Linked DNA regions of Lonchura striata. The protein of the gene in region 2 interacts with the protein of the main gene of each other region in a pairwise test. Links are inferred from orthologs where the notes say so. Each region holds a gene or a part of one and is shown on either strand. Other genes may lie near its edges.

Region 1 (7,004 bases), on a different chromosome or scaffold from region 2:
GTTTCATCAGAATGCAAAAGGGTTACAACGGGAGTTTGGAATATCCCATGCAGATGCCACTGCTATAGTGAGAGCTTGTCCTATCTGTAGTCATCATAATGGGGGTCATGGCATGGGATGGGGAGTTAACCCACGAGGTCTTTCATCTAATGAACTCTGGCAGATGGATGTTACTCATGTAAATAGCTTTGGTCTTCTGAAATATGTTCATGTTACTATAGATACATATAGTAAATACATCTGGGCAATGGCTCAAGCTGGAGAAAAAGCATTACATGTTATAAGGCATTTATGTAGTTGTTTTGCAGTAATGGGAGTGCCAAAGCAGATCAAGACAGACAATGGTCCTGCATACATTGGTGGCAGGGTGAATAGATTTTTAAAATCGTGGGGAATTAAGGACATTACAGGAATAGCACATTCTCCCACTGGACAAGCAATCGTAGAAAGGGCAAATGGAACTTTGAAGAGATACTTGGAAAAACATAGAGAGATTGGAGATGTTCAGGAAAGATTAATGAAAGTGCTCTTTGTTCTTAATCATTTGTGTGTATTTGGGGATTCGGAGGCACCACCTGCAATGGTACATTATGGACAAAAAAGGGACAAATTGTACATGGGACAAAAAAGAGATGAGTAAAAAAGGGCAAGGAAGTATGGGTCAGGTATAGGGACCCTAAAACAGGTATTTGGCAGAACCCAGCAAAGGTCCTCTATTGGGGAAGGGGATATCTTTGTGTTTCCACCCTACAGGTTCACTCTGGGTGCTCTGGATGATTCATCTCGCAGACCCCTGACGGATCAGGACCAGAGGAGAATTAAAGAGAAGCTGATTCGCACAGTGGAACCCATTCTTCAAGAGATAAGAGGACTTTCCCCAGTGATTGATCAACTTTTGCCTTCAGAGTCAACTTTTCTGGCAATTGTTGCGAGTATTGAAGCTTTACAGACTGTTCATATTCCGGGACCAAAGAATCCCGAGTACCTTGGTTGTGGGAGTTTTAATTGTAAGAGTTGGGTTGCTTTTATTTGTGGGAGTAGTAGAAAAACGTACTAGGAAGACCAAGTATTTTTGAAACGACATTTTTGGTGTAAAAATCGTGACTTTCAAGCACAGGGAGAGACTTGGCAGAAAGATTTAATACGAGACACAGGCTTAGGAGTTGCTTTAGCTTTGCAGTTATTTGAAGTGCCAGAACAAAAGATACTAGCTTTTTATAGATGGGAAGCAGAACATGTGGGTTAATTAGGCAAGCAAATTCAAAAACTTTATCAACAAGGTGCCAAAAGCAGGTGAAAGTATCTATAAGATCTTATTTAGGAAGACCAGTAGTAGGAAATCCAGACATAGAGTTAGATAGGCTTATTGAAAATGTGCAGGCATTGAAATTAAAATCCAAGAGGAAGAAATCATGAGGGTGATGAGGTGGATAATCTATCTTGTTCCTTTGACTAATCTTTGTTGTGGACTAATGCAATTTAATCAGCCCAGAGAAAAGATTTGGGTAACCTTGGCTAACAAGACTAATCAATGAGCTTGGGAGGAGTTACAAATCCATTTCGTACCTGCCTAACAGGTGTTCCTGTCTGGAGACCAGAGGAATTTTGTGGGTTGGTAAAGGATCAAACACTTTGCAAGAATTTTGCAAAAGTGAAAGGGCCAGACAAGAATATTGATTACACAGGAGCTCAAAGAGATGGCTACAGGCAATGTTTGTTGGTACTGTCACTTAAAGAAACATTACAATCTCCACCAGAAGAATTAGATCTCTTTGGAAGTGCCAATGCTAGTTTAGGGAATGTTTTGACAGGAGGATGGTTTAGCTTTGTTCCATTGAACTTGCAGAATTTAAATAACCCAAGAGACAAATGGGCTTCTCTGGACTCTTCACTGGACTCAGGTAGGGTAGCATCACAGTTATATTCCAACTGTGATGGTTCCAAGATAACCAAACCCTTAAGGTTGTCAAAAGGTGTATTTTTGATCTGTGGAGATAGAGCTTGGAATGGAATACCAGTAAAACCACAAGGGGGACCCTGTTACCTAGGAAAACTAGCGCTGTGCCACCCTAATATGTCCTTGCTAATGCAATGGGACAGGCTAGGGAAGAAAAGGAAAAAGTGTGATGTGCATGACTTAGAATGTGATCAGGTTGGACAACCTCAATTTTGGAGTACTTTGAAACAAATAATAGTAGCAACCCTGTTATCAGGAGGAGCTGCCAGAAAGGCTATGGTGTTAGCTGAACAATTAAAATGCTGGGCTAAAGATGGACTTAATAAAACATTAGAGGTTTTAGCCATGCTTGCTATGGATGTACAAAGTGTAAATCATGCAGTACTGCAGAACAGAGCAGCCATTGATTTTTTATTATTGGCCCATGGACATGGATGTGAGGAATTTGAAGGAATGTGTTGCATGAATCTCTCTGATCATTCTGTATCAATACATGCTAAGATTAAAGAACTACAACAGAGCCTTCATCAATTAAAAAAAGAAGATGGTCTGGGGATAGAAGAATGGCTTAAAAGCTTAGGGATCGGTCCTTGGCTAAGAACTTTTATTATGAATGCAGTGGGAATCTTGATTGTTGTTTTACTGCTCTTGCTGATCTTGCCCTGCCTGTTTAGCTGCCTGCAGAGGCTGGTATGATTCAAAAGATGTGGACAACTAATTTAATGGTTCAAAACAGAAACAGGGGAAGTGTGGAGAGTTTTGTGGATGAGTGGCTTTGGGAGAAAGGACATGACTACGTGCAGTTAGTGAAGCAGCAGCTGAAAATTGCAGAGTGCAGCAATAGTGGATGTAGCAACAATATCCAACAATATCACACGTCCTTGGGTGAGCTGGTTCCCAACAGTAGAATGGTCAGCAAAAAGATAAATGTAAGGGAAAACAAAGCAGGCATAGAAAGCCCCAAAGGCGGGGTTGACCCTTTTAGAGACACCAATGAGGAGCCTAAATTTGCAATATGCATGAGCTTCATTATAACGGGTATAACTGTACCTGCGTGCCTGGAATAAACGGAGACTTGTTGACATTATAGAATGGGCTTGTCTCCCGTCATTTGCCACAAGGGTGGGGGGTCTGTGAGGGTCTGGGGTCTGGGGGGGTCTGTGAGGGTCTGGGGGGGTCTGTGAGGGTCTGGGGTCTGTGAGGACCAGGGGGTCTCTGAGGGTCTGGGGTCTGTAAGGCTTGGGGGGGGTCTATGAGGCTCTGGGGTCTTGTGAGGGTCTGGGGTCTGTCAGGGTGGGGGGGTCTGAGGTTGTGGGGGGGTCTCTGAGGTTGTGGGGTCTATGAGGGTGGGGGGCTTTGTGAAGGTCTGGGGGGGTCTGTGAGGGTCAGGGGTCTATAAGGGTGGGGGGCTCTTTGAGGGTCAGGAAGGGTCAGGGGTCTCTCAGGTGTGGGGGGGTCTGAGGGTCGGAGGCTTTGTGAGGGTCAGGGGTCTGTGAGGGTCGGGGGGGTTGTGAGGGTCAGGGGTCTCTGAGGCTGGGGTCTGTGAGGTTTGGGGGTCTCTGAGGTTGGGGTCTGTGTGGGTCAGGGGTCTGTGAAGCTGGGGGGATCTGTGGGGGTCTCTGGGGTTGGGGTCTGTAGGGGTCAGGGGTCTCTGAGGCTGGGGTCTCTGGGGGTCTCTGAGGCTGGGGTCCGTGTGGGTCAGGGGTCTCTGAGGCTGGGGGTCCCTGGGGGTCTCTGGGGGTCTCTGGGGTTGGGGTCTGAAGGTGTGGGGGTCTCTGTGTGGGTCAGGGGTCTCTCGGGTTGGGGTCTGTGAGGTTTGGGGGTCTCTCGGGTCCGGGGGGGTTCGGGCCGGGCACTTGGCGCTCCCCCCTCCCCAAATTCCGCTCAGCCAATCCCGGGGCTCCGCGTGACGTCACACAGCGCGGCAGCCAATCGCGGCCCCGCGTTCTGACCCCTCCCGGCTCCCGTAGCGCGGGGCGGTCGCGGCGCGCCGGCGGTGACGTCACCGCCGGCGCGCCGCGACCGGGCCGGGCCGGGCCGGGATGCAGCGGGCGGCGCTGGGCGCGCTCGGGGCGGCGCGGGTGAGCACCGGGGACCGCGGGGACCGCGGGGACCGCGGGACACCCGGCCCCAGGACCACCGGGACCCCCCAGCCCCGGGACCACCGGGACCTCCCCCCCGGGACCACCGGGGACCGCGGGAACCCCAGCCCCGGGGACCGCGGGAACAGCGGGACACCCAGCCCCGGGAACCGCGGGACACCCAGCCCCAGGGACCGCGGGAACAGCGGGACACCCAGCCCCGGGAACCGCGGGACACCCAGCCCCGGGGACCGCGGGAACCCCCCAGCCCCGGGACCACCAGAAACCGCGGGAACCCCAGCCCCGGGACCCCCGGGAACTTTGCTCCGGGACCCCCATCCCGGGACCCCCCGGCTCTCCCCGAGCGGCCCCGCTCTGCCCTTCCCCTCCCCGCTCCGGTGCCCCCCGGTGCCCATCCCCGTCCCGGGACCCCTCTCGGGACCCGCCCCCGGTCCGGCCCGGCTCGGGGTGCCGGTGCCGGTGCCGTGACCGCCGGTGTCCCGCAGGCCGCCCCGCGGCGCTGGCTGAGCGCGGCGCCGCCGGCGCTGCGGGAGCTGCGGGAGCTGCGGGCGCGCACCGGGCAGCCGGTGCTGCGCTGCCGGGAGGCGCTGCAGCGGGCGGGCGGCGACCTGCGGCAGGTGGGCACCGGGGCACCGGGGGGAACGGGGGCGAGACCGGGGGGAACGGGGAGGCGAGAACCGGGGGGCACGGGGGGGCGGCGACCTGCGGCAGGTGGGCACTGGGGGGAACGGGGGCGGGACCGGGGGGCACGGGGGGGCGGCGACCTGCGGCAGGTGGGCACCGGGGGGAACGGGGGCGGGACCGGGGGGCACCGGGGGGATACAGGCGAGAACCAGGGAGGGAACGGGGGTGAGACCGAGGGGAACGGGAGCAGAACCTGGGGGGCACCGTGGGGAAACGGGGGTGGGACTGGGGGGCACCGGGAGGCACCAGGGGGAACAGGGGCAGGACCAGGGGGGAACGGGGTTGGGACCGATGGGGGACCGGGGGGCACCGGGGGGGGGACGGGGGTGGGACCGAGAGGAACAGGGGCAGAACCTGGGGGGCACCGGGGGGAACGGGGGCAGGACCGGGGGGAACGGGGGCAGGACCGGGGGGGAACGGGGGTGGGACCGGGGGGCACCAGGAGGGGACTCAGCACCCGGGGGGAGAGTGAGGGGGTGGGGAGCGGGGGGATGAGCCCGGGGGGGCTCCAGGGGTCCCCGGGCAGGGGGATGGCCACGAGCTCGGGGCTGGTCTGTGCCACCCCCCAGTCAGGGACAGGGACAGCCAGCAGTGACCCTGTCAGTGTGACAGGGACAGCCAGCAGTGACACTGTCAGTGTGACAGGGACAGCCGCAGTGACACTGTCTGGGATGGGGACAGCCAGCAGTGACCCTGTCAGTGTGACAGGGACAGCCAGCAGTGACCCTGTGAGTGACAGGGGACAGCCAGCAGTGACCCTGTCAGTGTGACAGGGACAGCCAGCAGTGACCCTGTCTGGGATGGGGACACCGGGGTGACCCTGTCAGTGATGGGGACACCGGGGTGACCCTGTCAGTGATGGGGACACCGAGGTGACCCCGCCAGCCCTGGGGACACCGGGGTGACCCTGTCAGTGATGGGGACACCGGGGTGACCCTGTCAGTGATGGGGACACCGAGGTGACCCTGTCAATGAGAGAAGACACCGGGGTGACCCTGTCAGTGATGGGGACACCGAGGTGACCCCGCCAGCCCCGGGGACACCGAGCTGACCCCTGTCCCCCTGTCCCCAGGCCGAGGCCTGGCTCGAGGCCGAGTCGCGCCGCCAGGGCTGGGCGCGCGCCGCGGCCCCGGGGGCTGCCCGGGCCCGGGAGGGGCTCGTGGGGGTCCTGAGCGAGGGCTCGGCCGCCGTCATGGTGGAGGTGAGTGCCGGGGGCTGCGGGGGTCCCCCCCGGGGGTCCCCGTGCCCCCAGGGTCACCGTGTCCCCCCCAGGTGGGCTGCGAGACGGATTTCGTGGCGCGGACCCCCGACTTCCAGCGGCTGGTGGAGATGGCGGCCAGGGGGGTCCTGGAGCACTGCCAGGGGGCCTCGGGCACCAAGGTGGGTGTCAGGGGGGCTCTGGGGCTCCGAGCACCAAGGTGGGTGCCAGGGGGGCTCTGGGGCTCCGGGGCGTTCTGGGACTGGGGGTGGCACAGATGGTGTTGGGTTCTTGGGGGTGCTGGGGTGCCTGGAGTGTTGGGGCAGGTTTGGGGGTGTTTGGGGAGGTTTTGGGGGTGTTGGGGCAGGGCTTGGGGGTGGCTGGGGCAGGTTTGGGGTGCCAGGCTGCTGGGGCAGGGTTTGGGGGTGGCTGGGGGAGGTTTTGGGGGTGTTGGGGCAGGGTTTGGGGGTGGCTGGGGGAGGTTTTGGGGGTGTTGGGGCAGGGTTTGGGGGTGGCTGGGGCAGGTTTGGGGTGCCAGGCTGTCGGGGTCCCCCAGCTCCTGCTGCGGGAGGAGGAGCTGGCCCAGGTGCGGGCAGGGCACGGGGGGGACCTGCTGAGCGACCACCTGGCACTGGCCATGGGTGAGTGGGGACGCCGTGCCCCTCCCAGTACATCCCAGTACATCCCCCTCTGCCCAGTGTCTGTCTCAGCACTCCCAGTCTGCCCAGTGCCCTGTCTGTGCAATCCCAGTTTGTCTCTTTGTCCTTTATGTCCCGAAGTTCCCTGAACCCCAACCCCGGTGATGCCCCTAGTGCCCATCCCAGTGCCCCCAGTGCCCCTCCCCAGTGCCCACCCCAGTGCCCCAGTCTCCCCAGTGCCCATCCCAATCTCCCCAGTGCCCATCCCAGTGCCCCTCCCCAGTGCCCCCAGTCCCTCCCCAGTACCCCCAGTCCTATCCCAGTGTCCCTCCCCAGTGCCCCCAGTCCCTCCCCAGCACCCCCAGTCCCTCCCCAGCACCCCCAGTCCCTCCCCAGTGCCCCCAGTCCCTCCCCAGCACCCCCAG
Region 2 (7,159 bases):
GGATCACCACTCCTTACTTGGGTAATACCATATAAATCCTCCACTTCGCAGCAGCTGCCCCAAGTAAACAGTCATTCCCCAGTTTTTACTGCAGCCTAAAGAAAAACTGGAAGCAGGGAGCACTGGATCCCTGCTGCTATTAAGCTTTGCAGACTTGCTCTTGCTGCCACCATCAAAATCTGTTTCACCCTTCTGTACCTCCACACCTTCAACTGAGTTTGTATTCCCTGATGTCATGCCCAAAAGGTGAGGGATGGCTGGGATGAGAAGGGTAAGTATGGACAGGAAGGGAGTCATACCAGTCCTTTCTCTAAACTCAGCCTGCATCCTTATGCTTCTGGTTTTGGCCATGGCAGGCAGAAGATGTAAACCTTATCTGCACAGCAGTCACCCTTCAACACCACCACTTCTGCGGACGCAGCCAAACTAAAACTTCCTACTCCATAAGGTGCTTCCAGCCCAACTATGGGCCCATTTGATATATTTTTTTTTTTTTTTTAGCAGCAATTTGAAAACTATGATCCATGAGGCACTGGGGAACAGCAGGAGTTGACGAAGGATAGCAAACCATGCACATAGCAAACCATGACTAGTTGTAAGAGTAGCCAATCATTCACTGATTCAACACATTAGTTCAGAGATAAGCTTGGTAGATTATGCTACATTATACCACTATAAACTGAAGGTAAATATCATACTATATTTTAGCATTCTGAGGCTAACCACATGACATCAAGCTTTACAGAAGGAAAATAAATTAGCATTTGGTGGTATTTATTGCTGAACAGCAACATCTTCCACATCAGTCTAAAACCTGCCCATAAGAAACAGCAGTGTTTATTCAGGAAACATGCAAACCTTTTCTGTAAGAAAATACAGCTAAAACTTACTGGGAAGGGTGCCTGAAGGACACAGTGGAGATGAGAACCCCAAAGAGTTAGATGCAGCGCTTGTGCATGTCAGTTTTGCTTTAAGGACATCTGCAGAACCAAGACACACAGCTCCAAAGCAGGAACACGGTTATTACAATTCCAGGACAACATACTCCAGTGCAGACATGCCCATATAGAAATGGAAATAATCTGCCCTACAGAAAAAGAACTTTCTTTCTCACATAACTACAATCACACCAGCGGTTTCACTGGGAAATCCTTACTTTGGGGAAAAGCCCCACCAATTCAAACTACAAAGTATGCCCTCCTACTCCTGAATACACCTTAACTAAGAACAATGTTGAAGTTGTGCGTGGAGTATTAAGATTTTAAGGCAGCTATTCCTATGCTCCATTTCAGATGTGGGAAGACTAAAGAAAATTTATTTTCTCCAAGCTAGAAATAAGACCCATAGGACAGGGAATGTAAAGTTCCCTACTTCAACGTAACAGACACTCTATTCTTGCTGTAGTTAGCTAGAACATTACAGCAAAAGGGTTAATAAATTTCACACACCTAGAAGTACTAAATGCTCAAAACTACAACAGTCTGGAAGGGTTTTGGTTTTTTTATTTCCACTTTATTTCTCTGTGGAAAAGTGCCCCCCAAGAGCTTGTCACACTGACTGTAGGGATTATACCCAGACTGCGCTGAAATGAACTGAAGCACAGCACCATTCACCACCAGCTGTACACAACACTCAATCAAAACCCAAATCTAAGGGATCTAAGGGATCCCTCTGCCATTTTCCTGTAAGCTGATTAATAAATTTACATCCATTACTGTTCTGCATCATATCCAATGAAGCCTTAACATCATTCCTGACAGGGTGGGTTATGGCAATGCAGAACACTCATGGTAAGCACATCAACCTGTTTCCAGATCAGAAACCTGTTTAAGGGCACAGTTAGGGCTGTTTTGCTGTGCTGAAACAAGGGACTTGCACAAATCACCCTGGTTTATGTAACAAGTAAAAAGGCCTTAGCCTGTTTTTTTAAAAATTACTATTTTCTATCAACAATTATCATTAACCTCAGGGACACTGGGGTGGAGGAAATCCACACCACTGTCATGAACAGATACGTTCAATGTGGATTGCTGGTATTTTCTTTGTCACCTGTTTGAACATCTGTTAGCACTTAAAAAAAGATGTATTTGCTCATATATAACCCACTAACATATCCTTGGAAGTGTTCAAGGCCATCTGGGATGGGGCTCTGAGCAGCCTGGTCTAGTGAAAGGTGTCTCTGCTCACGGCAGAAGGGTTGGAACTAGATGGTCTCTGAGGTCCCTTCCAAACCATTCTGTGATTCTATGATGAACAGTAACACACACTTTCTGAGCAACATTATCAGGTATGAAACACGACATTCTTAGAACCAGCTAATCACACTAGATGCAGAAAAATTACAATAACAGTAAGTTTTCTGGGTTTTAAGATAAGACTTCTAGGCGAAGGTAAAAGAATAAAAATCCCTGACCTCTCCCTCCCCACAAAAAAAAAAAAAAAAAGAAAAAACCCAAAAAAACCCAACGAAAGACGACCTTGCTGAGAGCCAACCCACAGCCCAGACTGAGCTGCAACGAGCCCCGCACGATCCAAAGGGAGCAGCCGCCTACGGAAACAGGGCGCACAAGGTGCCCGGCGCCTGCCCCCGTTAGGGCAGGAGGGACAGCGCGGGGAGCGGAGCGGAGGGAGGAAAGCAAGGGAAGGTAAACAGCCAGGAAAGGAAGGAGCGCGATGGAGGAGCAGGGGAGGCGGCGGCGCAGGGAGGGGAGCGCCGCCAGCGGGGCGGTGGGCGTGGCCGCCGGCAGCCCCGCCCCTCCCGCCGAGCGGCCGCGCCGGCCCCTCCCCCACCGGCAGCCGCGGGGCGGTGGCGGCTCGCGCCGCCCGTTGTAGGCGCCCCCCTCCCTCCGCCCCCGCCCGCCCGGGCCCCGGACGGCCCCGCGGCCCTCACCGGCGCGTCGGGCCGGGCCGGCCGCCCCCCGCGCCCCCGCACTGACCGTCGGGGGGTCCCGCTCGCCCGCGCAGCGGCTCCGGCTCGGCCTCACGCGCGGCGGGCACGCCCCGCCTCGCGCCCCATCCCGCCGCCGCCGCCGCCCGGCGCTCGCAGGGACGGGCGGGGAGCGGCGCGAGCTCACGCCACCGCGCACGCGCCGCTGCCTCGCTCCGCGCGGCCGCGAGGGCGGGGAGGTGGGGCGGGCGGGACTGGGCTCCCCGCGCGCGGAGCACGACGGGAGTTGTAGTTCCCACTGGGAACGCTGCCGGCAAGGGCACTCCAGGTTGCTGCTGGCCGCCGCACTACAACTCCCAGCGGCCAGCGCGCTGCGAGGGAGTTCCAGCTCCGCTGCCCCGCATCGCTGTTGAAGCTCCGCGGGGTCCGGCTGCTTGAGGAGACTCCGGCGGGATACGTGTGCGAAGCCCCCTCAGCAGCCGCCGGGAGCCGGCAGCCAGCAGGTGCATCAGTCCTCTGGGAACACAAGGAACGCAAGCGCCCCTGAGCCATGCGCTCAGGGCCCTTGTGGTCACGAACGCCAGGGATGTCCTGGGCTGCAGCGGGAAGAGCGCTGCCAGCAGGTCGGGGGAGCTGATCCTGCCCCCTGTTCGGCACTGGTGGGGCCGCATCTGCAGTGCTGTGCCCAGGTTTGGGCTCCTCAGTACAAGAGAGACATGGAGCTCCTGGAGCAGAGCCAGTGGAGGGCAGCAAAGATAATTAAGGCACTGGAGCATCTCTATTATGAGGGAAGACGGAGGGAGGTGGACCTGTTCAGCCTTGGGAAGAGACAACTGGGAGGGGACCTCTTCAACGTATATAAGTATTTGAAGGAGGGAGGATGCCAAGAGGATGGAGCCAGGCTCTTTGCAGTGGTGTCAAGCAATAGGTTAAGAGGCAACAGGCAGAAACTGATTCACAGGAAGTTCCACTTGGATATGTGGAAGAACTTCACTGTGCAGGTGACCATGCACTGGAACAGATTTCCCAGAGAGGTTGTGGGGTCTCCCTTGCTGGAGATATTCAAGCACCATGTGGGGACGCAGTCCTGTGTTGTGTGCTCTGGAATGATCCTTCTTGAGCAGAGAGGTTGGACTAGGTGACCCCGTGTGGTCTCTTCCAATCTGACCCGTTATGTTATTTTGAGATTCTTTTGGCAGTGATTACAGATGGGTATGGCCAAGTGAGTTGTGAGATTACACTAGTCAGAATGGGAGGTCAGCAAACACCACAAGCCATCAGTCTCAGTGGGAGCTGACACAGCCCCGCAGGTGGGGGCGCCTGGACCACCTTCCATGTGATGTTACTGCTGACAGAATTCCTCTTCCTCCGTTCACATGAAGGCTTCGGCTTCATCCACCATACAAATCTGACCTCCTGAGAGGAGTTACCCACTTCTCTCTACTGCTTTCTGGAATGCGAGAGAAATGGGGAAAGGCTCTGGATGCTGCTGGAGGTGACCTGTGCCAAGGAACACATCCCCATCTCAAGATGCATCCTGTTTACAGTGATGTTATAAGGAATTTTGTGGGGGTTTTTTGCCTCTTACAATGGAAGTTTCTGTTACGTTGAGCACCTGCGTAATTTGAATCCCTTTCAGGATTGCTCATCAACAGGGGAATTTGTTTCAGTCAGAAGCAGGGCCGATTCATTCCCACAGCCTCGAGCATAATCCCCGGCCTATTGGACACATTAATACCGTGGCAGCGTGCCACCTGCTCCATTTATTCACTTGAGACTCAGTGCTGCTTAGTCCCTGTCGAATGAGCTCTTTGTGCCACCTCCTGCGGTAATGTAAAAGGTCCCCCACAGGAATTTGTGCTATTCAGTGGAAGCTACAAAAGAGAGGGTTGTAAACACTCCGATTAGTGTTGGAGCACAGGGATATTGTCTTCACCACTTTTTACATAACCTCGCAAATTCCAGTCTCCCTCCTCCTCTCCAGAAGAAACAGTGTAACAGCAAAGGCTCACCAGGCTATTTAACTTAACATCACAGCCAATGTGTTTCTTTTTTTGTTGTATATAAAGGCCGCCTTACTCCTGGCAAAAGAAGAGAGAAGGGTTAGTTCTGTAACATCCCGTAGTAATTTGAGATGGTTGCCCATGAGGATCCCCACTTGAAGTGACAGTGGCCAGAGGCTCTCAGCGCTGAAGAATGTGTATTATTAGAGGCCACTGCCAACAAAAGTTCATGCACAATGGGCTCATCAGCTAATGAGCCCAGAATGAATTTTCTCCCAGATTTTGAGGACAAACAAATGATTGTATGCAGTGCTGGCTATACCAATTTACTGCCATGTGAAACAGATTTGGAGGGTTTCTGACTTGCAAAATTCACTGTGGTCTGGGACCAACTTACACAGACTGAGGCACTTTCTTACACCCTCAGCTTGCCTCACATTCACTCAGTAAATTCTTACTGCTTTAAAGACAAAGTGAAGCAAGGATTCTGAGGTGGCAAGCTCTCTGCATGGAAAATCAGTCTCACTGATGTACCTGAGCTTCATAAAAGTAATAAAATAATAATGGAGGAGAGCTTCAGAAAGCATTTGGTCAGGGAAAGAAAAGGGGAAAGGCATAGCTGTGTTAATAAATAATTCCTTCCTCCTACTACTACTTCAAGAAAGCCAGTTCTGGAGTTGAGTTTGTCTTGAACAGATGGGAGTCTATGTGGGCTGTATCATTCTGGGATAATTTCAGATGTGCTGTGTAATTCTCCTTAGCAATAAAGGAATACACAGCAAACATAAAAATATTTAGCTTAGGAAAGAAACGAGTTGGCCACAAACTGAAACAAACAAGTGAAACAATGAGAGCCTGAAGATACAACAGGAAAACCTAGAGGTAGTAAATTAGTTCATGCCTTTGGGGGAGAAAAAATGTTCATAGAAATTACCACAGAGCAGGAGAACAGAGCCAAAAAGGTGTATGATCCTGAACTCTGCCTAAGCAACTCCTATGAGCAGTATTATGGAGCAACAGAATCACTGAATGGTTTGGGATGGAAGGGCCCTTAAAGACCACTTATTTCCAACCCCTCTGCCCCAGGCAACCCTAGAACAGGTTGCTCAAAGCCAAGTAATTCCAAGTTCTCTGTGGTAGGAAGAAAATTTATAAATACTTGTCTTAGTTTAGGGCAAATTTGGGGAAAACCCTCTGGAAGGAGCCCCCAGAAAACAACCCCCCATGGCCCCTCCCCACCCACCTGGTTCGGGAAAAAAAAAATTTTCTCTGAGAGAAGTGGAAAAGAACCTGTTTATTTAACAAACAAAGCACTCCCCAGCACCAAAAAAAAAAAAAAAAAAAAAAAAAAAAAAAAAAAAAAAAAATTAACAACAGATTGTTGGAACTCAAAATGTCTCTCAGACATTTTTGGAGGTTCCAGGCCTTGGTCAGAAGCATTTTAGACCCTGGCAGACAGCTGAAAAACAGCTGTGATTTTGAGTTTGATCCATGGAATGATTTACCAACTTTGGAGGTGGAACAAGCAGTCACAAAGGGTTAGATAGTATAGTAAAAGTAGTTACAAAGTAGAGGGGAAATTTTTTTAGTATTGTACAGGGGGGTTTTAGCACCTGTACAGGGGGGTTTTTACTTTGTACATGGGGGTCAGAAGTTCTAAGATGGAGGAAAGTGGGCTGATCCTGTTCTTCCTCCTTCTTTTTCCTTACCTCCATGTTCTTGGTGATGCTGGCACTTATGAATTGGTTTAGAGTAGAAAAGCACTTTGTAATATAGGTAGTAGGTATTGGGGAAAAATTGTAAACATATAATATGTAATATATCATATAAAAGATAGCAGCAGCCCTGGGCGGGGAGGGAGAAGAAGACACCAGACAGTGAGGGTGTCAGGGTGTGTGTGTCTCTGCTTGGGCCGCTGATCAAACAGCCGCAGCCCGCAAAGACAATATTTTAGATAACTCACAATAAACTGCCTTGGGACCAAACAACAAGAGCCTGCGGAGTTTTTCTTTGGAAGCACGGGTTGGAGGAGAGACTTTAGCACCACACGAGACCCCTGACCAAGCCCGGGGTTCTCACACCAGATGACAACAAAACTCTTTCACCACTCTGAAGAGATGAACAAATCCAGAAAGTCTTTCCTGGGAGTGGTCGCCCGGGTCTGGACGCTGGGGATTGCTCTCTGGCACTGGGGATGTCTGCTGCAGATCACAAAGCACAGGCTCTCGGTGTTCCTTGGCGTTTCCCAGGTCCCAGTCCGGAGCAGGTT
Region 3 (6,992 bases), on a different chromosome or scaffold from region 2:
TAAAACAACCTTGCACTTCAATCCCCTTGGGTCATTGGACTTGGCCTTTCTGTGACAATGATGATTTTCTCTAATGGATGAATCCTTTGATAGCAATATATGTAATCTAACAGTTTCTTCATAGACAATAAAATACAGTAAAATTAGGCACCACATGGAGAATAGTTTAACTATTAGCTATTCAGAACTCTGAATTCTAAGAAAGTACATTAAAAAGACAAGAATAGGTACAATACTTAAAAATCCAGGACAAAAAGGTCCTTTTCTTGTCCTGTTTAACACATAAATCAAGATACTTGAATCAAGTGTTTCATGTACTGAAGGCTGAATCTACTGTATCAAAAATATATCACTAATGATGTGTTTTGGTGGGTATTTCATCATAAACCTTCTTCGTGTATCTAATATGAGCTCTGGAGAATGCTGTGATACAAATCTTCCCAAACCAAAAGACCTAAAATCTAAATTGTTTGTGTCAGTTGCACTTGCAAGTGCCATTACAGAGAAGTTACTCACTTCTTACTAATATGCATAAATATTCCTCAATTCATCCTGTGGCAAACAGCATATTTTCCAGACCAACAAAATTAATTGCCATTGAAAAGCCACTGAAAAGTTTTAATTATTTATCTCGATGCTTAGTCTGGCATGATGGACACCAGTAAAGTTCTGAACAAAAAATCCCTCCTTGGGCTGGAGGTTTTTAGAGGCTGATCAGGGGAGGGAAGGACAATCCCATAGTCAAACATAAAAACATTGAGGTAAAGATGCTGCGTTCACCTGTAGATCTTTGGAAGTAGAAATTAATTTGCTACACATCATGTCATTTCTATTATTTCTGCTCAGTCTTTGAACTTACACAAAGCAAGTATGTAAGTTTATGGTACAGGAGTTGGAAATGAGACCCAACAAACTGATTCCCAAACTACCTACCTGAACAGCTTCAGAGATGATGTACCACAGGGAAAAGCATTCATCTCTCCAGTAAGACATGACGTGACATTTTCACATGACATATCATGGATTTAGTGAAATGTACAGTTATTGAACGCACTTCAGAACTGTTTGACACTTGGATATGTGGGACTAGTCCATGCTGGGGAACTTCCTCCTTGCATTAGTCTTTGTGTCTTGTACAAACTGATGCAAGCCAAATTATCTCCATTAATGAATAAAGAGGGTTCTTGCTGCAAAGATGCAAATAATAAAATAGCAACTCAATAAAACATCCAGATTACCCACTCAAAATAATATGTCCAAATTACTCTTACAAATAAACTTCAGAATTATTTTGACAACAGAAGTATTTTAGGATCCTTATAGGTAAAAATATATGCATATATTAATGTTTTAAACTCCAACGCCTGAACTAGCCCACAATCACTGTAAGAAGCAAAGGCACTTGGAACTCAAACTCTTACTGATAAGTGATTAAAAAATCTATTCTACACATGCCTCTGTGTAACTAATAGAATCACAATATGCAGTTTAGCCATGGAGGGTGGTCATAACCATTGTACTTGCAGAGATACTGATGTGACAATAACTCCAAGTAAGTGACCAATGATGCTAAATTGGCCTAATCTAAGTCTATAAAATCATAATAATTAGATATAATATTTTTAAAAAGTTATTTCTTTAATATAGGCTATTTCAAGGAATTTTAACTTAGAATGTGATTGATCTGTTTGGTTTCATCATTAGTGTCATTGGAGTTGCAAAAGTTTGAAAATGGTACATTTCTGGGAAGAACCTTTGTCTATTATTTTAACTATAAACTAAAGTATCTGTGATTTTCAGAAACTTAGCAGAAAACTTTAGCTGTGTATTTCAAATATTAAGAAAGACAAATGTCTAGGTAAAAAAATGTAGCTATCTTAAGAGGCAGAAAGGATGAGGTGCTTAAGGGAAATAGAGCATTCAGCAGCAGCAATTTGGAAAGAGAAACATTGGAAGAGTTGTGAAGGAAGGTGAAGTGGAAAAAGAAAATAAACATAACTTAAGAATGGCAGAAGTATATGAAGTAGGGGACTGCCAACTCAGCAGGATTTAAATCAGACCAGTTAGTCAAAAGGTCAGGCAGGAGACCATGGCGTTTGTGAGATGCCCTCCAGAAGCCGAAGGAGCTTGGAGACAATTTTTTTAGTGTACTGTAGGAAAAGTATAGATCTACCAGGGGGACCTAATTTCATCCTTCCAGTATCTGTAAGAAGCCTAAAAGAAAGATGGAGAATTACTATTTACAAGGGCATATAGTGACAGGACAAGGAGGAATGGCTTCAAGCTGAAAGACAGTAGGTTTAAATAAGATATAAGCAAGAAATTCTTTACTGTGGGGTTGGTGAGGCACTGGAACAGATTGCCCAGAAAAGTTGTGGATGCCTCATCCATGGAAATGGTCATGGCCAGGTTGGATGGAGTTTTGAGCAACCTGGTTTAGTGGAGAATGTTCACAGCAGAAGAGGTAGAACTATATGATCTTTAATGTACCTTCCAACCCAAACCATTCTACAATTCTACCCAAGGAAATACACAGAAGCTCAGAAAACAAATCCAAGAGAGGCACATGGAGCAAGAGCTCTTGATGTGGAGATAGGTGAGCTCTTGCCTATTCTTCCTTGCAAGGCCAATGTATGGAGCTATTATCCAAGCCACTTGTTGTGTGCTATGCGGTGCTGATGAATACTGTAATGCTGGTGGAAAGAGGAAGCATACAGAGGAGGGCAACCACTTATAGCTGGGCCTATATGGCATAATAAGCTGCCCTTTTATCAGCAAAACCTGCACTGGGGATGATGTCAAGTGCCCCAAGCCCAGCAGAAGTGATTATTCTCCTGTACTCAGCACTGGTGATGCTATACTTTGAGTCCTATGTCCAAGTTCTGGGTCCTTCAATTCAGGACAGACATTGAGGTGCTGGAGCAAGTCCAGAGATGGGCATGAGGAGCAGCTGGGCGCAATTAGCCTGGAGAAGGCTCAGGGGAGACCTTATCACCCTCTTCAACTTCCTGAAACAAGGGTTTAGGCAGATGTGGGTTGTCTCTTTTCCCAGGCAACCAGCGATAGGACAAGAGGACATTGTTTCAAGCTGCACCAGCAAAGGTTCCGGATAGACATGAGGATGAATTTCTTTACAGAAAGAGTGACCAGAAATTGGAATGGACCGCCTGTGGAGTTGGTGGCATCACTGTCCCTGGACGTATGTAAGGAAAACCTGGACGTGGCTCTGAGTGCCATGGTCCGGTTGACATGGCGGTGTTCAGTCATAGGTTGCAACCGATGACCTCAAGTCTTTTCCAACCTAATTGTTTCTGTGACTCTGTGAAGGCAGGCCCGGGAAGCTGCTCGGCACTGCCCCAGCCTCTCACACGACTCACTAAGCCAGGACGGCCGGGACAGTCGCGCAGCTGAGCATCCCCAGATGTATTGTGCAGCTTGCCGGGGGCCCGTGCAGTCCCGGCCGGGCCGGAGACCGAGACACCCGCACCGCGTCGGAGCGCCCGCGCCCGGCCGAGCTCCGCCCTGCGGGGCTGCCCCGCGCCGCCACACCCACAGGGGGCGCTGCGCCGCACGGCCGGGCCACGCAGTGGAGCCCGGGTGCGCGGTCTACGACTACTACTACTACTACTACTGCTGCTGCTGCTAACGCCGCTGCCAACGCCGCTGCCCCTTCGCCCCTAGAGCGCCGCAGATGGCGCCGGCACCGCGCAGCGGGGCGGGGCCGGCGGCGAGCGCCGCTGAGCCTCCTCCCCGCTAGCCCCGCCCCTGGGCCCGGCGCTTCCGCCGCCGCCGCCGGGCGGAGGGGGCGGGCTGCCCGCGGCGCTGGGCGCTCCCCACGCCTCACTTTCCGGGCGGCGGCGTGCGCAGGCGCGGGGGAGGCGCGCAGGCGCGCGGCCGCGTGGGCAGGCGGCGGGGGGAAGGTGCGAGCAGCCGCCCGCGCGCGGCCGCCGGCGGCGCGTGTGTCCCGTGTGTGCCCCCCCCACCGCCGCCGCCTCCCCCGGCCCCGCCGCCGCATGCGGATGGTCCGCGGCGTTGGAAGATGGAGGGGCTGACGCTGAGCGAGGCGGAGCAGCGCTACTTCTGCGACCTCTTCTCCTACTGCGACACCGAGAGCACCAAGAAGGCGGCGTCCAACGGGCGCGTCCTGGAGCTCTTCCGCGCCGCGCAGCTGCCCAACGACGTGGTCATGAAGGTACGGCCGCCGCCGCGGGGCCCCCGGGGGTCGGCGGGCCCGGCCACCGCCCCGCCGTGTCGAGATGGCCCCGGCCCGGCCCTGCCCTTCCCCTCCGCCCGGCCCGCGCCCCCTGCCCGCCCCGCAGCCCTTGGGCGGGGGTCGTCCCGCCGGCGGGGACTCGGGGATTACCGAGTCTTGGGGGTTGGAAGGGACCTGTGGAGGTCTTCTCGTCCAACCCCTGCCGAGGCAGGGTCCCCTGGAGCAGGTGACAGGGAACGCGCCCAGGTGGGGTTCGAGTGTCTCCAGAGAGACTCCGCCACCTCCCTGGGCAGCCTGGTCAGGGCTCTGCCGGCATCGGCTGAGGAGGCTCTGCCTCGTGCTCAGGTGGAACTTACTGTGATTTAGTTTATGGCCACTGCTCCTCATCCTGTCGCTGGGCACCACTGGAAAGAGCCTGGCACCCTCCCCTTTGAGATATTTACATGCACTAATGAGATCCTCTCTCAGTCTTGTCTAGACTAAACAGGCCTAGCTCTGTCAGTCTGTCCGGATAAAAGAGCTCCAGACCTTGATCACCTTTGTGTCCCTCCGCTGGACTCTCTCTGTTAGCTCCTTGTCATTCTTGTACCGAGGAGCCCAGGACTGGACACAGTAGGATGGAGCTGTTTGACCGGCCACCTGAACCCCTCCAGCTGCAAGGGGAGGGCAGGGGGCACAGCGAGTTGTGCACCGTGCACCCTGTGCCAGCCTCCCCTCCCCTTATGTACCTCCAACTGCAGGGCTGGGAAGGGGCTGGTGGTGTCTCTGCTGGCAGCCTCCAGCAACTGGTAGGAAAATGTTCCATGCCAACAGAGGCCGTCCATAGCGTGAGAACTGTAGAGTGTAAAACTGAGAATGAGTGAGATTGTCCCCATGATCTGCTGATGAAGGGCAGCATAGAAGGAAATTTGGTTTTGTGTCCTTGGGAGCTACTGACACTGGTCCACTTCACCTAAGCCATGCAGTCTTTTTTGGACATCACTTGCTGGAAGGTATTAACTTACCTGTAGTCAGCCAAATGTTTCTATTAACAAAAAATGTGGTGTTAAGACTGACACGGGCCCATACTTGCAGTATGTATGTGCCCAGTTTTAGCATTTCCTTGGTCAGGTTATGTCTAAGACGTGTAGCAGTATTGCAGAGCTACCTGCATAGGAAAGGGAAAGTCTGCTTTGGTGTGCGTAGGTACACATTTGAGGAACGTATTCCCAGTGAACCATTCTTATGAATGGCTATTTGTAATAATTTGCTGCTTCTGCAGTTCCCTCTGTCATTGTTCAGTGCTTTAAAGTGTGCGTAGTCTTTTAAGCTCCTGTGGGTAAACCTGTATTTAGAAAGCCATGCTGCCTTTTGTGCAGTTTCATCCTCAGCCTAGTGAGATAACCAGCACGAAGTATTAAACTTACTATTGCTAGAAACATAAATTGCAAGATACTGAAATTCAGTGCCAGGAGAACACTTACTGACTAAGGTTACTGTTGGTGTGTTTTGGGCTTCCCAGCTTGGTTAGTTGAAATGAGTTTAAGATACAATGAGGTGGAAGAAGGCTGAATAAGAAATGGTTCTTCCTGGTAAAACCAGTAATCTCTTATTTGACGACTTGCTATACTGGACTTAATGGTAGGAGAGTCTGCGTGCTCAGTATTATGAGTAAGGTTTCTCAAGGGCCACCCATGGCTGCTTTTTGTTTGTAGCAAGCCAGTTTCAGAAAAATCATCCCAGGGAAAGTGAATGTTTACATCTTTGCTGTGTTTAGAAGTTTCTTTTACATAAAACTTGTCTGAATCAGTGTATAGTAAGCTAGTGCTAGAGATTTTACTTTATGCAGGAATTTAGTGAAAGAACTTGGAAAGACCTGAAAAAAGTGTCCACAGGTTATATCCTTGTCTTTTGCATAGGAGGTCAGATATTTTCCTGCAAAGTAGACTTCATCTGAAGAAGAGAGACTACTCGGGCATCATTCCATGGGTCCTAAATAAATTAGCTGAAGTAGACCTGGCTTATCACTCTAGTGATCTCAAGGAGAACCTTGCAGTTAAAATGGCAAACAAGATATTAGATTGCCTGAGGAATGAGACTGTAAATAGTACAAAGAAAGTTGAAATGCCCTTAGCAGTTTGACCCATTATGAGTATCTTGTGCAGTCGCAGTTGGTCACCTGTAAAGTACTTTGTCCTTTGAAAACAATTTAGTTGTGTAGTTATTTTGCATACTTCTTAAGGTATGGCTCTACACCAGGTTAACACAGGCATAAATATATTGGGGTTCTTCAAAGGGAAGTTGCATTTGATGCTTTGAAAGCTGAGACTATGTAACTTAAACCTCAAGATGAAGTAGCTTAAGAAATGAATCCTGTGAAGGAGGTGGAATTTTCTTTTGACCATATGAGTGCTATGTTTTTACCTGTTCATTTGAAGCACCTGATGCTTGTGGGGAAATGAACTTGATTCAGTTACTTAATCCTTACATAATCCTGGAATGCAAGTGTAGTACTGGTCACATGAATGCTAAGTACTTTTGTAGGTGTGCAAAACATAGCGTAAAATGGTCGCTCTTCAAGCTCACGGGGAGCAAGTAGTCCTAAGGAACTACTTCCTAGTTTTTCCTTTTCAGTACTACAGGTTGGTAGGTACCTTTGAATAGTTCAGAACTAATTCCATTGGAAATGAAAATGTCTGACACTTGCATTTTTAGATTCATAACTTGTTTTACTTGCAAATCGGTTGTGTAAAGGCTGGATAGATGTGCAGCCTCTTTTGCAAAGAGTTATGTCCTTGTA
Region 4 (6,872 bases), on a different chromosome or scaffold from region 2:
ATCGTTATTGTATCTCCAGTATATGTAAGTTTCTTTTAGTAATGTGAATCTTATTTCACTTGTCCTTTAAAGTTATGCTACAAAGAGTCCTAGCAATTTTTGGACCTGCTCTACAATGCAGAAATAACAAAAACTTTTTAAAAGGACGAGTCTTTTTTACAACGTTGTTACTTGTACCAAGTAAATTCTTCTGTAAAAACAGCATTATCCTTGGGTTCAGTCAAGAGGCTTTTGAGGTCATTTTCTCAGCACCTTCTGGAATGAGAAAGTGGCACTCACCAAAGCTATTTAACAAAACAGAACACAAAGGGCTGCTCAGAGCAGTCTACCTCTCTGGTGCTCTACTTAAAGGCAAGGCAGGCAAATAAGAAGAGGTAAAGTGACAGACTCAAGTTATGAACATACAAGAAATCCAACGGATAGGAAAAAAAAGTAAAATAAATATCAAAATATGAGGAGCTGTTGAGCTGTTTAACTTCTGTTCCCCAGATACAACTGTCTGCGAACACATATGCCTATTTTCACAAAAAATGATTTAATTAAAAGTTAGCTCAGTAGCTAAAGTAACAATTGCAAGTTACAAAATTTAATTAAAATATTGTAAAGCACATATCAGCAACTTGAATCTAGTATTAGAGAACTTAAGACACATTCCTGTTAATCTTTGTCTTCTGAAAGAGGAACACTATTGTCAGCCTAAGCCATGAGAGATGTGGAACAAAGCCTACCTTCCTTCTTCCCTCCTCTTTTCGATCAAAAGCACATTGCTGTTTGCACTGCTCACAGGTCTGGGGTGGACCATACTTCTTCTCTGAGTTGGTGCAACGCTGGCATTTTGTGCCAATAAATGCTGCAATAATGTTACAATACTGACAAGGCTTGGGCTGAAAAAAAAAGTCAATACATTTGTATTTGCAGTAATGAAACTTCTGCTATTTCAATTCATACAATCATGCTTCGAAACTGGAAGAGTTTCAAATAATCTACCTTAAAGAACCTTTTTCCTACCATTTTTATCTTCAGTGTTAAACTTTTCCTCTAAAGTGATGCTTCTGCAAGGATTAAAACCAGCCTAGACTTTCCATGAAAACCCAGACACAAAAAAAGAAGCACACATCTATCTGGTTACTAATCTCTACACCTACTGCATTTTATTTTTTTAAATATATTTTTTAAAATATATTTTCTCTCAGTCTTGCCACACTACTTAAGAAATTACTTGCACAACTTTAAAATAAGAGTAATCAAGTGATATTTTTTAGACTGGAAGTCTCTGATGGCATCCCTCTCCTTTGCACAGCTCAGGGATTCAATAACCCTACAGTTCCAAGATTAGTATCCTAATCCCTGAAATTCTGCAGGAAACTTAAAAAAAAACCAAACCAAAACAAAAAAAAACCCTACCACCAAACAAAAAGCAATCAAATAGATCTGAACTATCAGGTCAGGTTATCAACTTTTATATCATACAGTCAACTAGACTAATAGAGTGCTGAAAAATAAAATTGATGTCAGTTTTCATAGGTTAGAAGTGGCTCATTATCTTCAGTGCAGTTCTTTTTTTTGATGAACTACTGATAAAATCGTTGATGGTTCTGTCCTGCAATTCATTTTGCTGCAATTTAAGCTTCTGAAAGCAATTCTTTGTTCAGTTTACATACACATTCACAAAGTGCCTGACTACATACCAACAGCTATTACGCTTCTCAAAAAAGTTGAATTTCAACTAATACAGTTTATGTCAAATATAGCGAAGTCATGCCTTTTTGTTTCACAAGATTATTTTGATACCTCCTAAAAACTCATATCTGCACAGTAGCTCAGATAGAATGTGTGCATTCATATGATAGAAAAATTAATTTTTCCAACAGAACTGAAGCTAAAATACAACATGAGAAAATATAAAGTAACATGAATGCTGATAATACTCCAAATCTTTTGTACCTATTAGTTTAACACGATTAATATGCATTTTTTAAGACTTACGTTATATAAAGTATGTGGTATTACTAGACTTCCACATTTACCACTTGTTAAGAACAATGAGAGCTAATGGTCTTCCTGCCATGAAGCATGTGCTTATGAAAATATGCAGGGAATAATGGAACGTGTGTGGTGTGAAATAACATTGCTTTGTTACAAATAGCTATATTGAAATTATTCTTAACTGTTAAGCTATATATTACCTAAATGGGTTTCAATTTGGGAAAAGAAACAGTAGCCCACAGAGGAAATCAGGATATGTCAGGCTTTTCCATCACCTTTCTAGATGGCAATCTATAGTGTGGATTTGTTTGGTTTTTTTTTTCCTCAAAAGAAAATAAGAAGATTAGTAGCAAGAGAATTTTGTTTTTGGTTTGAAGCACAAACAAGCTAAACTTCAGCATAAAGAACCAAGTAACTACTCACCGTTCCGAACTGCTTCACGTTTTGGGCACATTTCTTGCATATTGTGTTGGTTTTGCTAAAGAGATAAAATAGCACAACATTGAATTAGGTGACAAACATGCACTTTGACATTGTTCCCCATGCAATTACTTGCAAGCAGACTCTGAGAAGACTTGGGTTGGAAGGGACCTCCAAGGCAGAGTCACCCAGAGCGGCGACACAGGAACGCGTGCAGGCGGATCCTGAGCGTCTCCAGAGAGGGAGACCCCATCACCTCCCTGGGCAGCCTGATGCAGTGCTCTGCCACCCTCAGTGTAAGTAAGTTCTTATGTAGAGGTGAAACTTCTTGTGTTTTAGTGTATGGCCACGGCTCCTCGTCCTGTCGCTGGGCACCACCCGCTTGGCACCCGCCTCGGAGGTATTTACATGCATTGATGGATCCCCTCTCAGCCTGCTCTTCTCGGGACCGGCCAGGCCCCGCTCGTGCCACCGCGCCCGGCCCCGAGCAGAACCCGCCGTACCTCTCCTGCTGGAACTCGGAGCGGCAGTAGGTGCACTTCACGATGGGGTGGGCGATGCGGCACTCCTGCGGGGACAGCGCCGCGTTACTGCCCGCCGAGCCCCGGCCCCGCTCCGCCCCCGCCCGCCGCCCCAACAGCAGCCCCGGCCGGGGCCGCCGCCGCACCTTGCACAGCTGCTGGCCCTGCGAGAGCTCCTCGAACGGGTACCGCTGGTTGCACTTGGTGCAGGCATAAAGCGCCGGGGCGGCCGCCGCGCCCGCCGCCGCCATCCGGCGGGGCGGACACGGGCGGGCCGAGGGAGGGGAATGGGGAGGTGCCGCCGGGGCGAGGGACGGAGCGGCCGCCGGGGCCGCCGAGGAGGAGCCGGGGCCGCCGCCGCCGTCCCGGTGCCGCTGCCGCCGGTGCCGCCCTGGGCCCCGCGCGCCGCCCGCCCGCGTCCCCCTTGTGTCGGCGGCGGCGGCGTCACCCCGCGCGCGCCCCCCGCCCTTCCTTCTCTGCCTCCCTCCCTCCGCCCCGGGCCCGGGCTCGCGCTGCGCCCGCGCAGCCAATCGCCGCCCCGCGCCAAACCTGCCTTCGAACGCCGCCGCCCAATCGCCGCCCCCGCCGGCCCCGCCGCCGCCAATCCCGCCGCGGGCGCCCTGCCCTGCGCCGGGCGGCGGCGGCGGCCCTGCGCTGCCATTGGCCCAGGCGCGGGGGCTCCTCTGACAAAGGCCGGCCTCTTCCGCCATCCTCCCTCCGCGCGTGCCCACGCGCCGCCCCCCGCCCGCGCCGCTGGCTTCAGGGGCTCGCCCGCCGCCCGTCCCTCTCGATTGGCCGAGCGGCGCCCTCGCTCTTCTCTTATTGGACAATTTCCGCGTCAATCAAGGCTGAGAGGAAGACGGGGCGGGACTTACGCGCGGTCCTCCCTTCTCATTGGCAGGCTGGGATAGCAGTCAAGCGAGCGAGCCGCCGCGCGGGTGCCGAGCCTTAAAGTGACATGGGCCGGAGCGGGCTCCCTTGTGGCCGACATGGCGGCAGCTAGGGGCGGCCGGCCGCACACGCTGGGGCTCGGAGGGCGTCTCTCCGCGGTGAGGAGCAGGACGGGCGGGCCGCTTGTGAAATCCGGGGGGTAGCGGCCGGGCAGCGCGGGGCCGGCGGCTTGCGTGCCGGGAGCCGTACGGGCTGTGGAAGCTGGCTTGTCTGTTATACATGTGTGTGTATATATATACGTGTGTGTGTGTATCTACACGTGTATATAGATGCTTATGTGTGTGCATATATATATTTATGTGTGTATACGTGTGTGTGTGTGTATAAACATGCCTATATACACATGTGTATGTTTGTATGTATATCTGTATATGTGTATGTGTAAACCTATGGTGCATTCACGCGTGTTTTCTAAAGCGACAGAAGAAAAGATACTCTGCTGTTGAGCATCTTTCTGTCCCCACGCCAGCGTCTGGAGATGGTGTTTGCAGGTGAACGGAACAAAATGCTGCCTTTGGTTTGCTCCCAGACGTGTCCCGGGGCTTCGGGCTCTGTGGTGTTCGCCGCTTTCCGGAATAAGTTGCTGTTTTAGTTGCTTTTCCGTGTTTTGGCAGTTTTTCGCGTGAGAAGCTGTGTGTTGGGCGCGCCCTGGAGGAGCAGGCTGCGGAGGGGTGGTCCGCTCCTCTGCGGGTCTGGGGTCTCGCTGCCGGGGTGAGCGCCCGGCCTGGGGTTCTCTTGGGTGTCTCCTGCCCTGCAGTGTGCTCCCATACCTGGGCCAGCAAGAGGAATCTGGGCACTCTTTCCTCACCAAAATTGTTTCTAGCAAGCCTGGAGAGCGATCTCAGAAAACTCGTTTCAGTCTACAGTAGGTAAATGTAGGCTATTTAATAGATTTGGTAAGCCAAACAGAACTTTTGGGGAAAAAAGTTACCTACTGTATACATCTGGCACTCTACAGCAGATAGTTGACAAAAAATACTGTATCGTGTCAACATTTTTTCCTCTCCATTTGATGTAATTGCTTAACTAAGTTAACTTTTTAATGTCTGTTTTAACTAGAAATGTTACTGAAATGTAGAGTGCTCCTGACTCGGTCTCTATCAGGGAGGCACAGCCAGCACTTAACTTGGCCTGTGGGTGATAGGAGCTGTCCTTCCTTCCCCTTCCCTCCATTCCTAGTTTGAATGACTGGGTACTTGAATGTTTCATAATCACTACATTTAGTATCTCGTTATTTTTGGGTTTTTTTCGTTATTTTTGGTTTTTTTTTCTCATTCCCTACATAATTTTCCTGGGTTGGCTTTTTTTTTTTTTTTTTTTTTAAGCCATGTGCAGAGGCTGCTGTGTATCGCTTAAAGCATTGCCAGGTATCAATCTTTTTTTCTTTCTTTTTTGGTTATGAGCACCCAGATGAGAACTTGCAATAACACCCAATTCTAATTTAATCCCTTTTTAAAAACTCTCTGTATGAGTTTGTGTCTTTGTTTTCCTCCCACTGTGTTTAGCCTTTGAGAGCTTTGGGAGGTCCCTGTGCTGGTGATTTGTTAAGTTATCTCTGCTCTGTGTTTTTAATATTCCCTTCTTTTTGCTTGAGGAGGCAGCTGATATTTTGGGAGGCAGTGTTCTCAGACCTGTGAAGATAAGAAGTGCTCAGCTCACTGTTATGTAATAGGGTGCATTTGTCTCCTTGTGGGACTGTTAAGCTTCTTCACTTACTACTCTGAGGCTTTAGTGCAGCTTAAAGACTATGAGGAGTATCCTGAAAGAGAGGAGATATAGTTAGCAAACATGATCTAACTGAGTTTCAGAACAACAATATAGGGCTTCCTGTTTTGTTTTTTTTCTCAGTTTTCCTGAGCATCAGAGCATGATACTCCCTGTGAGACTTTTCCAGAGCAGGAGCAAATTTAAATGGTTTTTAATGACTTCAGAGATAGGGGGGAAGAGCAGAGAATCACTGTGATGTTTGAGCTTTGTGATGGGAAATTCCTCTATGCTGTTTGGTAAACTTTCCCAAAGTATTCAGTCAAATGATTTAAAGTTGTTATTTATGAAACTGAATATAAGCCACTCTTTTGCTTAAAAGTAGGTGAGAAATATATGTGTGGTAGCAAATTATTTAGACTGAAAAAAAGAGCAATTGTCTGTGTAATAGAGTATATTCCAGCACAATTTTTTTCAGTAGCTATTTGAAGCAGATATCTGTACTGACTATTACACTATTCAAATTAGTATTACTGGCTGTTCAAATTAGGTCCTATTGCCTGCATCCGTGTGACATGTAACCAGCCAAAAGACTCAATTTGCTTTGCTTTGTGTTAGTTTGGTGCTCCAGGGTTTTAAGTACAGCAGCTTTTTCTTTCAGTTAGACTGCTGTTGGCTAGAAAAATGTTACTAATGGCAGTAAAAACAAACAGAAGAATTCCTTTACTTCGGTGTTTTTATGCAGTTACATTTAATTTTTAGACAAAACTTTACCTGTGAAGACATAAAAGATGATAATGACATCTAGAAGGATTGTGATGCTGTCCAGCCCTACTTTGGCTTCAAGCTGATTCCCCTTTTTCTTTTGACTGCTTGATGGGGTACCTTTGGTTTGAGTCAGTGGCAGACAGGATATTGATATTTGAATCAATAGTTACTGTTTGGTTTACTGAGGCTTATGTTGCTGCTGTTCGTGTTTTGCTTGGTTCATTTTTACTCCATCATTTGGTCTTACTATTGTGTGCTCATCAATGCCATATCCTGTAATGCTAATGACATTTTTGATGTTAGCACCTAACAGGCTTTTGATTAGGTGGATTCATGTGTTCTGGTTAGACTTGTGAGGCTGCTGAGTGTGAAACAGTGTGTTTATGAACAAAACACCTGTTCAAAATAGTTTTATTAAAATATTCTTGATTAGGGATTAGTGTTTTAATTCACTTTCTGTGGTAGAGAATGTGTGTGCAAATGCAGTTATTTTGAGAAAAGCTGTTAGGTTGTGTAGGAAAA

Evidence for each region.
Region 1: the proteins of RALBP1 (region 2) and TSFM interact in binary tests that used the Homo sapiens proteins (3 or more experiments, as listed by UniProt). The two-hybrid records come from large-scale screens. The link is inferred for Lonchura striata from reciprocal best matches to the Homo sapiens genes RALBP1 and TSFM.
Region 3: the proteins of RALBP1 (region 2) and REPS1 interact in binary tests that used the Homo sapiens proteins (3 or more experiments, as listed by UniProt). The link is inferred for Lonchura striata from reciprocal best matches to the Homo sapiens genes RALBP1 and REPS1.
Region 4: the proteins of RALBP1 (region 2) and CEP57 interact in binary tests that used the Homo sapiens proteins (3 or more experiments, as listed by UniProt). The two-hybrid records come from large-scale screens. The link is inferred for Lonchura striata from reciprocal best matches to the Homo sapiens genes RALBP1 and CEP57.

What each region holds. Positions count from the first base shown.
Region 1 is NC_134629.1:5,337,672-5,344,675, forward strand, and holds the start of TSFM (elongation factor Ts, mitochondrial), read left to right. Parts: upstream 1-3,999; coding exon 4,000-4,326; intron 4,327-4,544; coding exon 4,545-4,676; intron 4,677-5,815; coding exon 5,816-5,944; intron 5,945-6,015; coding exon 6,016-6,123; intron 6,124-6,497; coding exon 6,498-6,582; intron 6,583-7,004. UniProt on the Homo sapiens protein: Associates with the EF-Tu.GDP complex and induces the exchange of GDP to GTP. It remains bound to the aminoacyl-tRNA.EF-Tu.GTP complex up to the GTP hydrolysis stage on the ribosome.
Region 2 is NC_134603.1:51,666,762-51,673,920, reverse strand, and holds the start of RALBP1 (ralA-binding protein 1), read right to left. Parts: upstream 3,025-7,159; 5' UTR 2,937-3,024; intron 1,168-2,936; exon of another isoform or gene 891-1,167; intron 1-890. UniProt on the Homo sapiens protein: Multifunctional protein that functions as a downstream effector of RALA and RALB. As a GTPase-activating protein/GAP can inactivate CDC42 and RAC1 by stimulating their GTPase activity.
Region 3 is NC_134605.1:51,578,746-51,585,737, reverse strand, and holds the start of REPS1 (ralBP1-associated Eps domain-containing protein 1), read left to right. Parts: upstream 1-3,970; 5' UTR 3,971-4,039; coding exon 4,040-4,192; intron 4,193-6,992. UniProt on the Homo sapiens protein: May coordinate the cellular actions of activated EGF receptors and Ral-GTPases.
Region 4 is NC_134604.1:39,869,632-39,876,503, forward strand, and holds the start of CEP57 (centrosomal protein of 57 kDa), read left to right. Parts: upstream 1-3,849; 5' UTR 3,850-3,916; coding exon 3,917-3,976; intron 3,977-6,872. Other genes in the region: protein FAM76B, read right to left, coding at 729-884, 2,410-2,464, 2,910-2,974, 3,074-3,178. UniProt on the Homo sapiens protein: Centrosomal protein which may be required for microtubule attachment to centrosomes. May act by forming ring-like structures around microtubules. Mediates nuclear translocation and mitogenic activity of the internalized growth factor FGF2, but that of FGF1.